4 linked regions of the Saccharomyces cerevisiae S288C genome follow. Changing the gene in region 3 together with the main gene of any one other region gives a genetic interaction. Each region holds a gene or a part of one and is shown on either strand. Other genes may lie near its edges. The genes, in order: AIM22, HGH1, LCB1 and PAN6.

Evidence for each region.
Region 1: mutations in LCB1 (region 3) and AIM22 together harm fitness more than expected from each alone (negative genetic interaction), as found in Saccharomyces cerevisiae (2 studies listed by BioGRID).
Region 2: mutations in LCB1 (region 3) and HGH1 together harm fitness more than expected from each alone (negative genetic interaction), as found in Saccharomyces cerevisiae (2 studies listed by BioGRID).
Region 4: mutations in LCB1 (region 3) and PAN6 together harm fitness more than expected from each alone (negative genetic interaction), as found in Saccharomyces cerevisiae (2 studies listed by BioGRID).

Annotation. Positions count from the first base shown.
Region 1 is NC_001142.9:350,791-354,176, forward strand, and holds AIM22 (putative lipoate--protein ligase), read left to right. Parts: upstream 1-1,595; coding exon 1,596-2,825; downstream 2,826-3,386. Other genes in the region: cullin RTT101, read right to left, coding at 1-1,318. UniProt on the Saccharomyces cerevisiae protein: Catalyzes both the ATP-dependent activation of exogenously supplied lipoate to lipoyl-AMP and the transfer of the activated lipoyl onto the lipoyl domains of lipoate-dependent enzymes.
Region 2 is NC_001139.9:869,660-872,995, forward strand, and holds HGH1 (Hgh1p), read right to left. Parts: upstream 1,758-3,336; coding exon 573-1,757; downstream 1-572. Other genes in the region: transcription factor IIF subunit TFG1, read left to right, coding at 1-322; protein kinase BUB1, read right to left, coding at 2,385-3,336.
Region 3 is NC_001145.3:858,688-862,916, forward strand, and holds LCB1 (serine C-palmitoyltransferase LCB1), read right to left. Parts: upstream 2,205-4,229; coding exon 528-2,204; downstream 1-527. Other genes in the region: GSR1 (Gsr1p), read right to left, coding at 1-203; carboxypeptidase C PRC1, read left to right, coding at 3,235-4,229. UniProt on the Saccharomyces cerevisiae protein: Component of serine palmitoyltransferase (SPT), which catalyzes the committed step in the synthesis of sphingolipids, the condensation of serine with palmitoyl CoA to form the long chain base 3-ketosphinganine.
Region 4 is NC_001141.2:75,782-79,016, reverse strand, and holds PAN6 (pantoate--beta-alanine ligase PAN6), read left to right. Parts: upstream 1-1,733; coding exon 1,734-2,663; downstream 2,664-3,235. Other genes in the region: kinetochore-associated Ndc80 complex subunit NDC80, read right to left, coding at 1-943. UniProt on the Saccharomyces cerevisiae protein: Required for pantothenic acid biosynthesis.

The sequences.
Region 1 (3,386 bases), on a different chromosome or scaffold from region 3:
ACTCAAAATATTTGACATACTGTTCTATGGCTTTGCTGGTACTTCCAAGTAAATTACATAAATGGTACTCGATGGAATCGGAGTATATTTTGAGGTGATCTACATTAGCTAGCTGAACTACCTCATCAAATAGCCTTTCAGTATCATGATTGGATCCATATGCTGCCTTTAACTTTTCTGAAACGGCATCATCACAGAATTCCTTGAATTTTGACAGCATATTTTTTGCTTCAAAAGCATTTCTAAACATCAATAAGCTAAAGTGTGTCTCAGTTTTGAAATATCTCTCTTTTTCTTCATCATAAGTGTCCTTCCCAATTTCTATGTATTCGCTAATAGACTTCTTGTTCAACAGTAGATGGCTTATAAATAGGTCATTTGCATCGCTGACCCATTCAGGGGAAAATAAAGATGCTAATAATGCATTCCTCGTCAATAGTACCTTAAAATTCTTGAAAGTTTCCAGCCTCGGCCTTAAATTTGATTCCTCACAGTAATATTGTCTGAGAGTTTTCATATAAAAATCTTTGGGGCTCAAGCCCTCTATACTAAAATTGCAGTTAGACATTATACGGAGCATAGGAACTTCCTTCTCTAACATTGTATTCGTTATTGGAAACATATGAATATAGTGATGAATAGTAGCGCTTACAAGGGTGGAAAATTCCCTTCCAAAATGTGACTTCATACATTCGAAAAGTTTGGAATCATAATACTGAAATATCGTTAAGGTCTCAAATCCTAGTTCTTTTCTTATCATGGGATAATTTACCGGCACATACGATATAATAGGACCAACGGCACCCATTACGTACTGAAATAGCTTGTAAAAAGAGGTCCAATTTTTGGGTATAATTTCATAAGAATAGTCGCATCTGGTCAAAAAGCTAAGGACGTGCGCGTCAATTATTAACTTTGCCAATTCATCACAAAATTCTTGAAAACTCAGCACAATTTGGTGTTGATGTAGCAGCTGAAACTTCTTTTGCTTTTCGTCATTCCCATTAAATTCTGAGTTGTAAGGAATGTATGATTTCCTTTGCGTTAATTCACGGCAATTGTTCAACATCTTAGGCATTAGCTTTCTAAATTTAGCGGCCTTTTCTTTATTACACTCCAATTCTTTCACGTCAGTTTCAGTTATAGTTTCAGCTAAAGTAAGGTGAAAAAACTCGTGCAGCTCAGCAATCATCGTTCGATACCTGGGATTTCGCTCATCGTTAAATTTATTGTATAGTCCTAAAGCGTTGCTTGCACTCGTCTCTCTGCTTATAGACTCGTGGAATCCTTCTCTCTTGGAAACGCTCTCATTTATCATTGTTCCTGTGAACCCGTACGAGAATTTATACCAGTAAAAAAGATTGGTGGGTTTAATATCTTGAGGATTCCTTCAAAGTAGTCTTTTAGTGCAAAGATATCGATGATCTTCATTCGCATTGTTCATATTCATCATTACGCAAAGGATAGCTATGCGTTCCGCTTCGTCATACTTAATCAGGAATATTGAACATCCAAAAATCTCCGAGCTCACGTATGTAGAATTTTTGATGAATACAAAAGAAGAAAACACTAGACTTTTCTTTGATGTTTACATTATGTCTATGATGCTAAGTAATTGGGCACTCTCCCCTCGATATGTGGGACAGCGAAACCTCATACATTGCACCACTTTATTTCACACACTTACACGATGGGCAAAAGACGCAGACGATAAATATCATGATATAAACTCAATGTATGAAAACATGTTTACACCTTCAAATGATAACGTTTCAATTTTGCAGGATGAAGGTAAATCTGATTATGATACGACGAAGGCCAGCTCTATGGAAGAAGATATCAGTGCTTTTAATAAAGACTTGTACAATTTCTATAATATTGGATATGCCAAACAGATCATGTCTGCTTCACAATTGGAAAATATAGTAAAGGCAAAGGGCAGATTTGTTATACAAAGTTTATCCACCAGTCCTTATTATAATTTGGCCCTTGAAAACTATGTTTTCAAGAATACACCAAGAGCCAAAAGAGGTCCCGATAATTGCAGACTGTTATTTTACATCAATGATAGGTGCGCCGTTATAGGCAAAAACCAAAATCTGTGGCAGGAAGTAGATCTTGCTAAGCTGAAGAGTAAGAATTTCGAACTACTTAGAAGATTTTCTGGAGGTGGCACTGTACTGCATGATTTGGGCAATGTTAATTATTCATATTTAACATCAAGGGAGAAATTCGAAACAAAGTTTTTCAACAAAATGATAATTAAGTGGTTAAATTCATTGAATCCCGAACTAAGACTAGATTTGAATGAGAGAGGAGATATTATTCAGGACGGGTTTAAAATTAGTGGCAGTGCTTATAAAATTGCCGGTGGCAAAGCATACCATCATGCAACGATGTTGCTTAATGCGGATTTAGAACAGTTTAGCGGCTTATTAGAACCCTCACTACCGAACAATATGGAATGGGAGTCAAGTGGAGTTCATAGTGTAAAATCAAAAATCAAAAATGTTGGTATAATTACTCCTAATCAGTTCATTGCAGTGGTATCCGAGCGTTTTCAGAAAACATTCAAAGTTGACGGCGAAATACCTATATATTACTGTGACGAGTTTAAATCTATAAACGATGAGATTAAAGATGCTATGAACACCTTACAGAGCGAACAATGGAAATATTTCTCGGGGCCTAAATTTTCAGTGAAGATTAAAGATAAAGGCTTAACAATTAAAGTCGAAAAGGGCATGATTTATGATTGTGATAGAAATGATTTAATCGGCTTGGAATTCAAAGGATTTTTGGAGAATATTGACAGTTACACATAACGTTGATGAATATTTCAATTCACTTGTAAATAACGTAGGTAAATATCAAAATTAAAGTCTTTCACCGGAAACTGATTCAGCATATTTCAGCAGACGCGTCCTAGATTCACAGCAAACTTCAATATAAGCGATACATTAGGAGTGTTCGTACTTTAGATCTATAAGAACTATATTTTGTTACGATTCAGCCGTCTCTAAATGTGAACTAAATATTTATACTGTTATTTGAGAAACCGACAGATAGTACTTAATTTTATCGATCATCTAAGAATAGCATCGGTATTGTGGTGACATTTATTGAATTTCTTCCGCTCCAGAATAAAGTTCCTTTTCACTTCAAAAAACTGCCACCAGTAAAGTTGCACCAGTGGTTTTTGAGCATTTTTTGTCAATGTCGCTTAACCGTTCTTGAACTGTATCCTCTTGACGTCGATAAAATCATTTGTAAAAACCAGGCCAAATCATCATTGAATAATTTACACTGTGTCTTCAATGTCGCCATTTGGACCAATAATTATCAAACTGTTCACAATTCACTCAAAGTCCTTTCAGCAACATTCT
Region 2 (3,336 bases), on a different chromosome or scaffold from region 3:
CTTCCCAGAGGGAGAATGGAATCCACAGACGACAAAAGCTGTAGATAGTAGTAATAATGCATCGAATACAGTGCCTTCGCCAATCAAACAAGAGGAAGGCTTGAATTCTACAGTGGCAGAAAGGGAAGAAACTCCAGCGCCTACAATAACAGAAAAAGATATCATCGAGGCTATTGGTGATGGCAAAGTCAATATCAAAGAGTTTGGAAAGTTCATCAGAAGAAAATATCCTGGCGCAGAGAATAAAAAGCTAATGTTTGCCATTGTAAAAAAATTGTGTCGAAAGGTTGGCAATGACCACATGGAATTAAAGAAAGAGTAGGTTAGTTTATAATGTTATGTACTTAATAGGTTATTTAGTTTTCGTTCTTTTCATTCTTTCCTTTTTCTTTCCATTTAATCTTATGTAGTTACATTATACTGTCATTTTAGTTGCAGTAAGTATACTTTTTTATCTAGTCTTTTTTTCTGCCTTTTTTTTGAGAAAAGACTCAGAATTCTACTAAACTCTAATATATTGTTATTTCTGTATTATACAATTCTATGCTATGTGAACTGTCCTTGAAAGTGACCTAGGCCACTTCGACAATTTCATCTTCTTCGTCGTCATCTTCTTCTTCTTCACTCTCCTCCTCTTCTTCCTCTTCCGCATTCTTTGATGGCATCTCTTCCACTGCTCCCGCACCTGGCTCGCCTCTCATTAACATATTAACAATTCTGTAACATAATTCACCAATATCTTCATTCTCAACGTTTTTATGCAGCTCCCTCACTAGTGGATAAACGGACTTGTCTCTTAAGTATTCTCTTCCAGCATGCGTTGTACATAGCAAAAGAATACTTTCTAAATGACAGCATATAATTGCAGGAATCGGGTCTCTTTCCTTGTCCTCTGGTAATAATTGAAGTTCATCTGGTAAATTGAACATATCTTCCTCATCAATTTCAGAATCTTTAGCACTAGCAATAGGTAGCAGGATGTAAGGCAACAAGTTTATTTTTTCATCTTTGAGTAACCTTTCATGAGTTTCAGAATCAAATAGGGAATTTTTAATTGTGGAAGCGACACCTTCTCTTCTTACCTTTGCATCATATTTTTCGGTAAATACTAGCAATTTTGAAATAGGAACAACCCCATCGTATTCCTGCTCTTCAATAAAATACATCCTGCCCAATTTAAACCTCGAGATATCCGCAAAAAAAAAGGCTAAATAATTGAAACTGGCATATTTTGTTAATTTTTTATCATAACCCTTAACAAAGCAATCCATTAAACAATCCATGGCTCTCAAACTTTTGAAAACTTCTTTATTTAAAGCTGCTAACTTCAAACCATCATCGACCTCCTCACCGCTTGAATTCCTTTTGATATTCAGAACAGCAAGAATGCCGTCATCCTTGGCTAAGTTGCTTAATAAGATACACATTATATCGGCATTTGGATTGGTTAAATCGACAATTTTCCAAACCAAAAATTTTAAGAACTTCTTGTCATCGCTCAATATAATATTTCTTACTAACTTGTCTTCAGATAAATTGACCAATATAGTGACACCTTGCTGAATAATAACACGGGTGCCGTGTTCTGGATCCATGATCATTTTTATTATATCCTTAATGGGTCTGTAGCTATCATTTTTGAAAACTTTTGAAGTGGGACCAGCACTAAATCCAACTAGATTATCAATGGCAATCTGTCTTACGGCAGGTTGTGGTGAATGCAGAAATTCCACTAATTCATTCAATTGTGAAGTCATCACTCAATTTTTTGTTGATTTTTTTGAGCTATTTTTAATTTTTAAATTAAATTGATACCGTTTTAAGAAGAATAAACTTGTCGTTATTAGAGTAGGTGCGTCATAAATTGATGGATGAGATGAGAGAGCTCAATATGAAAAAATGAAAAAAAAAAAAATTTGAAAAAGCCCTTCGAGGAAGAATAGGGAAAAATCTACAATAATAATTATCGTCTGGGGTGATAACAGAACACATCGAAAGGTAGCACTACCAGTAACATCCCAATTGGCTCTGCAGCTATTAGATGAAATATACTGCGAATTGCGAATCAAGACATCTATTTTTTATTCTTGTTAGTTTTCGCGGTAACAAGTGGAGCAATTGCTACATACTCGATGTATGAAGAGCTTCAGTAAAATAATATCATAACATTATCGCCATTTTTTTGGTACTTGTTTTTCCATAAGTGACAGATGTCAAGATTAAAAAAGAATATATTTACTCAACCTGAGAACCTGCTAGTTTTATATTACCTTTTATATATTAATGTTACAATTGGCTCTACCTGAAGTTGTGTTGTCATTGCTATGGAATCTGGCAGGACACCAAAAAGTCACCTATGCGGGAGATGAAGGCATATTTATTCACTAAAATCTCCTTGACGGTTTCCCCTTATATTGAAAATGTGATAACTCCTCTTCAATGCTTAGAATTACGTTTCTTAAGTGATTTTCTGCGTGCTGTTCCAGATGGCTTTCTATCAAATTCCTTATTTCAACAATCTTTTCAGTCATCGGCAAAGCTTGATTGGAAGCTTGACCGCTATTTAACAGTAAATCAAATATAACGCCCCATATTTCTTTTTTCCAATACCTTTTGAATGGGTTCTTCAATTTGCATCGTCCATTCTGCAGCTGGATTGTTTCTATGAATTTTCCAAAAAGCATCGAATGTATGACGCCTGCTAATCCATAATAATCCGCTTCATAACTCCATGGCTTGCCCGCACGCATTTCCCAGCAATCTTGCTGATCAGCCTTCCAATTTGATTTGAATTTCGTTCCAGGTGGTAACAGTGTCATATCAAATGATCTACCGAAATCTATTAAATAGATTCCCTTGTTTTCCCAGCCATCCTCTCCATTGCGCATATAATGAGCACCCAGGGGTTCGCCTGGTTTTTCTAATCTGATCATGCAGTTATCTGGTTTCAAATCGCCATGTATTATTCCCACTTCATGTATCTTTTCAAGTACTTTCATTAGCTCGACAGTGATAAACATGCACAAATATTCATCCATTATTCCGTTGCCGTCAATTGCCTTTTCCCGTTGTAAATTAATTAAATCCAAGACCGTACCTTGACTGGCGTAGTTTAAAACAAGGTAGCTCTCATCAAGGAACAAGTGTAAAGCACTAGCGTTGATTATTGACTTTAATATTGTGCTCTTCCTCAACCTAAACTCCACTTGGCTCATTATGTAATATTCCCATACACTTGCAGGTTTTTCTACTTTCAACGCTCGCAGATGTCCTTGACTAGATTCTGCTAGATATACAGTGGCATAACCTCCTTCGCCTAATTCTCCGCGTATACAA
Region 3 (4,229 bases):
TTCATGTTGTCGTGGAAGGTATCAGCAGCTTGTTCAAAAGGTTGGGCTTCCTGCACAGCGTCTAGAATAGGATCAGCAACGGAAGCAGTACGCATCTTCAATCTTGCCTTGTCATCTTCAGAAATCTTGACATCTGAGGCACGGTTCGCTCCGTCATGATCACTCGTGTTACTGATACTGGATTTCTTTCTAAAATGCATCATATTGCCTTGGTGTGCTGTTTTAACCTTGTTTGATGTTTGCTGTGTCTCTTGTGTTAGTTCTCTGCCTAGTGAAACCGAAAATGCTCAAGAAAGCGTACCACGAAAGTACTCCTTTCTTTTCTATTAATAAATAAACAAATAAATAATACAGGTTGCTTTGCCTCGATGGTAAAAGGAAAGAAAATTTCGGATCCGAAAATTTTTAGCGCATTCTCTGGGCGCCGTGCACCACGTCAATTTGACAGAGATGATGTTACGATTATTTGTATTATTGTATAAATATTTATATATATATGTGCGTGTGCATATACTGGCTTTCTATTTTTATTTATTAGATTCTTGGCAACAGGCAAGGATGGACTGCTTGACACTTTCGCAAGCATTTTTGAGTTCCTCTGGGGACATGGCGGCGTTACAGCAGATTTTCAAGCTAGGGACAATTGGTAGCGTCTCCTGTTTTAAAACAATAGTGTTTCTTGTGATGAGAACGTTGTAGTTAATAAGAGCATGATCTACTATGGACTGCAGAAATTTTTCCTCCTCTTCGTATGGCTCAATGAATTTGTTTGTCTGGGACTTCTTTTGCAAAGCTGACATGGTTTCGAATAGCTGTTCGCAGGTGTATCCGAACTTGCGAGACCTATATGCGGGAGTCAGTTGCAGATGTAGGACAGCAGACACTGGAGAGGACGTGACGATTACGTATGAACGCAAGGAGTCGTCAGATGCAAAGGAATCATGCAAAGATTTGGATAGTTTTTGCAGCGTCTGGACGGCGTCGTTGTTGGAGTCCATCAATTTCAAGACTTTGGAGACGGATGTGACGGTGTAAGCCGGCAAACAGGCAGAAAAACAATATGCATTGGAACCAATACGCTGGTGCAAACACATAACACTGTCACCCAGGACAAAACCACCGGTGGACCCCAACGCGGTGGCCATGGACCCAACGGTAATGTCAATGGCAGTTGCGCGATCCATGTTGAAGTGCTCTGACAACCCACGGCCCGTAGCGCCAAGAACACCAATGGAGAAGGTTTCGTCAACAAATAGTCTGAACTTGTACTTGTTCTTCAGCTTAGTCAACTCAGGCAACGGAGCTAAATCGCCCGAGTTGTGGAAAATACCCTCAGTGACGATAAATTTTCTTGGAATGGCGGGCAGTTTCTCAAGTTTCTCCTGTTCGGTCAACTCGTTTAATAAACATTCTAGCGAATTCATATCGTTGTGGTTGAAGTAGTAGACTGTGGATCTGCTTAGTTGCAGAGCATTTTGCACTGGTAATGACACCTGGTCGTCTGCCACGATAACATCACCACGCTTTGTGAAAGCAGGCAGAACAGAGGGTGCGGCACAAAAGTCTTGCCCGTACAGAACGGAACCTTGGGTGCCAAAGAACTGTGCTAAATCATATTCCAACGTGTAATGAACGTCCTGGTTACCGTAGAACCCGGCGGGACCACAGGCGCCCACACCGTAATTCTTGATAGTGGTCTTGACCACTTCTTTCACGGGCTCCGTAGCGGACAATTGCAAAAAGTTGTTCGAGGCCAAATTGAAAACATTGGTATACTTCTCCTGCAGGTTGTTTCTGGTGATAGTAATATGGTTCTGAATGGGCATTTCCATGGTGACGGGTGTTTTGGCCACCCTCCACGATTGCTCATCGGTGGCAGAAGGGTCGACTAGAGGCTCGGGCTCCCAGTCCTCAATTAGCGCGTCAATCTCCTGGGGCGATAGGTTGGGCTTCTGTGCTTGAAGACTCTTTTTCTGTTGTGGCTTGGACAAGTAATAGATGATCCCGTATAAAATAAGCCCTATCTCAACCGTGGTCCTGTATGGATCGTCATGATGCGATTTCTTGATGTACGAAACGATGAATTGGCCTCCCGGGATTTGAGTCAACACCAGATTGAAGTAGTACCATAGGTACGATGAGGTGGTAACAATAAATGCCGGAATCGGTATTGATTTGGGTAAAACCTCTGGGATGTGTGCCATTGCTTTTTTTTTTTGGGTGGGAAGGAAGAAAAAAGGATAAATAACCCTACACGAGCAAAATGTGTATATTGGAGGCCAGGCAGAAGGTTAGAGCGCTCTTATACTGTGCTACTCGATGATGTTGAAAAGAATTTTTTTTATTTTTCCTTTTCTTTTTCTTAAGTACTATATTTTCTCAATCTTACTTTCGTTCACTACAGTTAACCGCAGCAATATGCCCCTATAAAAAAGAATGAGTGAAAAATTTGTTAGCAGAGAAGCAAGAAGGAAAGAAGGAAAAAAAAAAGAAACCGTGTAAGAAATCATGGCGCCTCAAAAAAAAAAAAATACGCGAAATCGATTTCCGTATATGATGATACATATGTTAGGTCTCTTATGGTAGTTTTTAGGGTCTGTCCTGTTTTTTGAAGGCATTGGTTAGGGTCTAGTAAGTAACTCGTATAAAGAGATGTACTTTTATACGGTATGTGTGGCGGTTATTTCCAGTGTTTTTTTTCCCTTATTTTGTGGGTTCATGGAAATAGTACATATTGACCTTCTGCACAAGAAGCCATATTGACAGAGCAGTATGTGAGGACCTTTCTTCTACACAATGTAACAGTCAATGGTTGTAGTCAATACCACGACCTTTACGTGCAGTTTTAGAGCGAAACTTCGGTTTTTTGAGACTTACCTCGTGTTTGTGTCTCCCTGGGAATGGAGCCGCGCCACCCTTGTCTATTATGTATAGTCTTATTTAATCATAGCGATGTTGGTCATCCAGTACACTTCGGTAGCAACCTTCGTTTGTGATTGTCTTGGTAATTGCTTCCAACAACTTTATCCATCATTGAGACAGGGGCCATATCACCCGCGGGGTCTCAAAGAAGGGGCCCACTAATAAAAGCACGAGATAAGAATGCCAGCAAAAAAGCTCCGAAATAATTCTTTTCGTCTTCCCTCCTAGTCTTAACAAGACAAGAGAGAGAGAGAGAAAGAATACTCACTAGAGATTGTTTCTTTTCTACTCAACTTAAAGTATACATACGCTATGAAAGCATTCACCAGTTTACTATGTGGACTAGGCCTGTCCACTACACTCGCTAAGGCCATCTCATTGCAAAGACCGTTGGGTCTAGATAAGGACGTTTTGCTGCAAGCTGCGGAAAAATTTGGTTTGGACCTCGACCTGGATCATCTCTTGAAGGAGTTGGACTCCAATGTATTGGACGCTTGGGCCCAAATAGAGCATTTGTACCCAAACCAGGTTATGAGCCTTGAAACTTCCACTAAGCCAAAATTCCCTGAAGCAATCAAAACGAAGAAAGACTGGGACTTTGTGGTCAAGAATGACGCAATTGAAAACTATCAGCTTCGTGTCAACAAGATTAAGGACCCTAAAATCCTGGGCATTGACCCAAATGTCACACAGTACACGGGTTACTTGGATGTGGAAGACGAGGACAAGCATTTCTTCTTTTGGACTTTTGAAAGTAGAAACGATCCTGCAAAGGATCCGGTCATCCTTTGGTTGAACGGGGGTCCAGGTTGTTCTTCACTAACCGGGCTGTTCTTTGAATTAGGACCCTCATCCATTGGACCTGATTTGAAACCCATCGGGAACCCTTACTCTTGGAACAGCAATGCCACCGTGATCTTCCTTGACCAGCCTGTCAACGTTGGGTTCTCGTATTCCGGGTCCTCAGGTGTTTCCAACACTGTCGCCGCTGGTAAGGATGTCTATAACTTCTTGGAGTTGTTCTTCGATCAGTTCCCTGAATACGTCAACAAGGGCCAAGATTTCCACATCGCTGGGGAATCCTACGCCGGCCATTACATCCCTGTTTTTGCCTCTGAAATTTTGTCTCACAAGGACAGAAACTTCAACTTAACCTCCGTCTTGATCGGAAATGGCCTCACTGACCCATTGACTCAGTATAACTATTACGAACCAATGGCCTGTGGTGAAGGTGGCGAACCATCTGTTTTGCCCTCGGAGGAATGCTCTGCTATGGAAGACTCTTTGGAACGTTGTTTGGGCTTGAT
Region 4 (3,235 bases), on a different chromosome or scaffold from region 3:
TTATGTGAACGAATTTTTCAAAACCTAACTTTAGTTCTTGCATCGAAGGCTCATAATTATCCTCAAGTTTCAAAAAGCTTTTGTAAGACTCTGTAAAATAATCAATTAACAGTTTCTCCACCATTAGCTCATATCTTTCTTGTCTTTGGTCCTGTTCGTCCAAAGTCTTTAAAGGCTGGCTCAGAATTGTTATTTCTTGTGTATTTTGATTAATTAATGAACGATCTACTTTATTCAAGCACATATCCAGTTTAATATTTGTTCGTACCATCCAATGCAACATGCCAAGAAATTTGTGCCAATTAGAGCCACCTACAGCCGAAATTTGTGATTTATTTATTGACTCTAAAAACGGATAACGCAGATTTTTTAAAATTTGATAGATCTCATTCTCGATAGACTTAGTAAAGCCGTAACCTGGATCGAGTCTTAAATATAACCACTTGAAAATGATAATAAACCCCTTTTGAGTGGGTTGTTTTAGAAATTTTATTGAAATGGGATGATTTGTTTCAATATCAAATTTATTCTTTTTCAAATAGTCATAAATCTCCTCTTGAATAGCGCTTTGGAAGTTTTTGTCTCTTAGTGGCCTTGGATCTCTATTGCTCAGATGTTGCTGCAGGCTGCCAAGTTGATTTATTGATAATCTGCTGACGCTGTTTCTACTGTTGGATTTGTCATTTAGAGCCAATGCTGTACCATTTGTACCTCCTGCAACCGTGCTTCTTGTCCTCTTATTTTTATTTATGCCTCCTGTGGGAATGCCAGTCCCGCTTATTGTATTCCTGGCAATACTCTTATTGATCATGTCGGTTAGACCTTGATTCGTGCTGTTTCTTCTCCTCAATTGTGACGATGTTGCAGTTGGTATTTGGGACGTAAACCGATGAGGGTCCATGTGATGTAGCACATGTTGATCAGTACTTGTTGAGCTTTGCATTTATAGAAACGGGTATCTCTTATGGAATATATTATAGTACACCCTAACGTTTAAAGAAAGGAACGTCAGTTATTTTTCTTGTTCCGTTTCAATTTTTTTTACAGGGACGATTCTACCTCTCCTGTGAATGTATTCCAATTATTTCTACCATTTTTGGTGTTGTTTGTTTATTTTAGGAAATATTAGTTTTGTGACTATATCATTCCATACGTTATCTTTTTTTCTTTTGGCACTTTCAGTATGGGTAACCCTTGAAATGGTATTTTAACCGCTAATCGCAATAGACTGCTTACATCTTTAACAATACTTAACGGGGCTCTCAACCAGCCCATAATCACGATATTATTTCAATGTTCAGTTATAACCATCTGGCACATAGTACGGTGAATTTCTCTTCAATCCTAACATCAGTAATGCTTTTCGGACCTCCAACCGTCTTTCCTTTGCATTCACAGTCTTTCCCTGACAAGAGCCCTGCTACTATTGACCCTACAGAGACCTTCTTGTGGCGAATTGTTGCTCTTTTTACTTTCTTACTGATGTAAGTTAATTAGAAGGAGTGATATCTGTAAGAGTGGAAATTAAGCGCCCATCTTTTTTATAATGTTGGCTGAACAGATATCCGGGTAAATGTTACTTTAACGAGTTTTTTTCTTTTGTCATATTTTCCAACAAGAGATTAATGAACATTTCTCGATGTAGCGTACATATTTATGTGTACAAGAAGTGGTGTGTGTTGATACTGCACTGTTTTATACAAGTTTTTATACTGCATATCCATATAGAATTGATGAAAATCTTCCATACTGTCGAAGAAGTTGTTCAATGGAGAACACAGGAGCTGAGGGAAACTAGATTTAGAGAAACTATTGGGTTCGTTCCCACAATGGGTTGCCTGCATTCGGGTCACGCTAGTTTGATCTCGCAGTCTGTGAAGGAAAACACCTATACTGTGGTCAGTATATTTGTAAATCCCTCCCAGTTTGCGCCAACGGAAGATCTAGATAACTATCCTCGAACTTTGCCAGACGACATCAAATTGCTTGAGTCGTTGAAGGTGGATGTTCTATTTGCTCCTAATGCACACGTGATGTATCCACAGGGAATTCCGCTCGACATAGAAGAGCAGAAAGGCCCTTTTGTTAGTGTTCTTGGATTGAGTGAAAAATTAGAGGGGAAGACGAGACCTAACTTCTTTAGGGGCGTGGCAACTGTCGTGACTAAACTATTCAATATCGTTATGGCGGATGTGGCTTATTTTGGGCAGAAGGACATTCAACAGTTCATTGTTTTACAGTGTATGGTGGACGAACTGTTTGTTAATACAAGGCTACAAATGATGCCTATTGTAAGAAACAATAATGGACTGGCTCTGAGTAGTAGAAACAAATATCTTTGTCCAGAGTCTTTAAAGATCTCTGAAAACCTTTACCGCGGGCTGAAAGCTGCGGAAAATGCTATTAGGAGACTAGCACCAGGGGGACGTCTCTCCAGATCAGAAATCATCGATACTGTGACTCAAATATGGGCACCCTACGTTGATTCCCACGATTTCAAAATCGACTATGTTTCCTTAGCAGATTTTAAGACTCTTGATGAACTCTCCGATGTTGAAAACACCAGCGAACAGCAGCCAATAGTCATTAGTTGTGCTGTATACGTGACTGACCGCGAAAAACCCGATACGGTCGTCAGACTAATAGATAACATCGTTATTTAAACTAGGTGATTGGGCCTTCCCGTGTCTGTGTTGCAGTATATACCACTCTTATACAGTATGCACGATATTCTTTTAAACCAACAACGGGATGATAGATTTCACGCTTGATGACTTTTTTTTTAGACGGCTGAAGGGACGACATCCCCATCGCTCAAAACACAAATATGGAAAGGACAAATCGTCTTTCACAGTTTGCATAGTAAAAGCAAAGTTTATACTACTTCAGCAAAGTTGAAGTTGTTTGGCACTTGTTTCGTGCTTTCTCAAATATCTTAGATCACCGTCTGTCTAGAGCATATATCTATTGTTTGACGCACCCCTTTTACAAAAAAAAAAAAAAGAAACAGATCTATTAAGTAATAAAAAAGTTATTTAGGAAATAAGGTGCAGTAAGCTTCCTGAGGCATAATCATTATACTTTTAAAATCTATATTTTTGGGTTATTGTTGAAATATTTTCTTACAAAGCCCATTTCTCGTTTTTGACAATTTTTCTTATCAGTTGTGACTTCTCTTATCGATAAGCAATATTGAAGTCCTAATCACAAAAGCAAAAAAAATCTGCCAGGAACA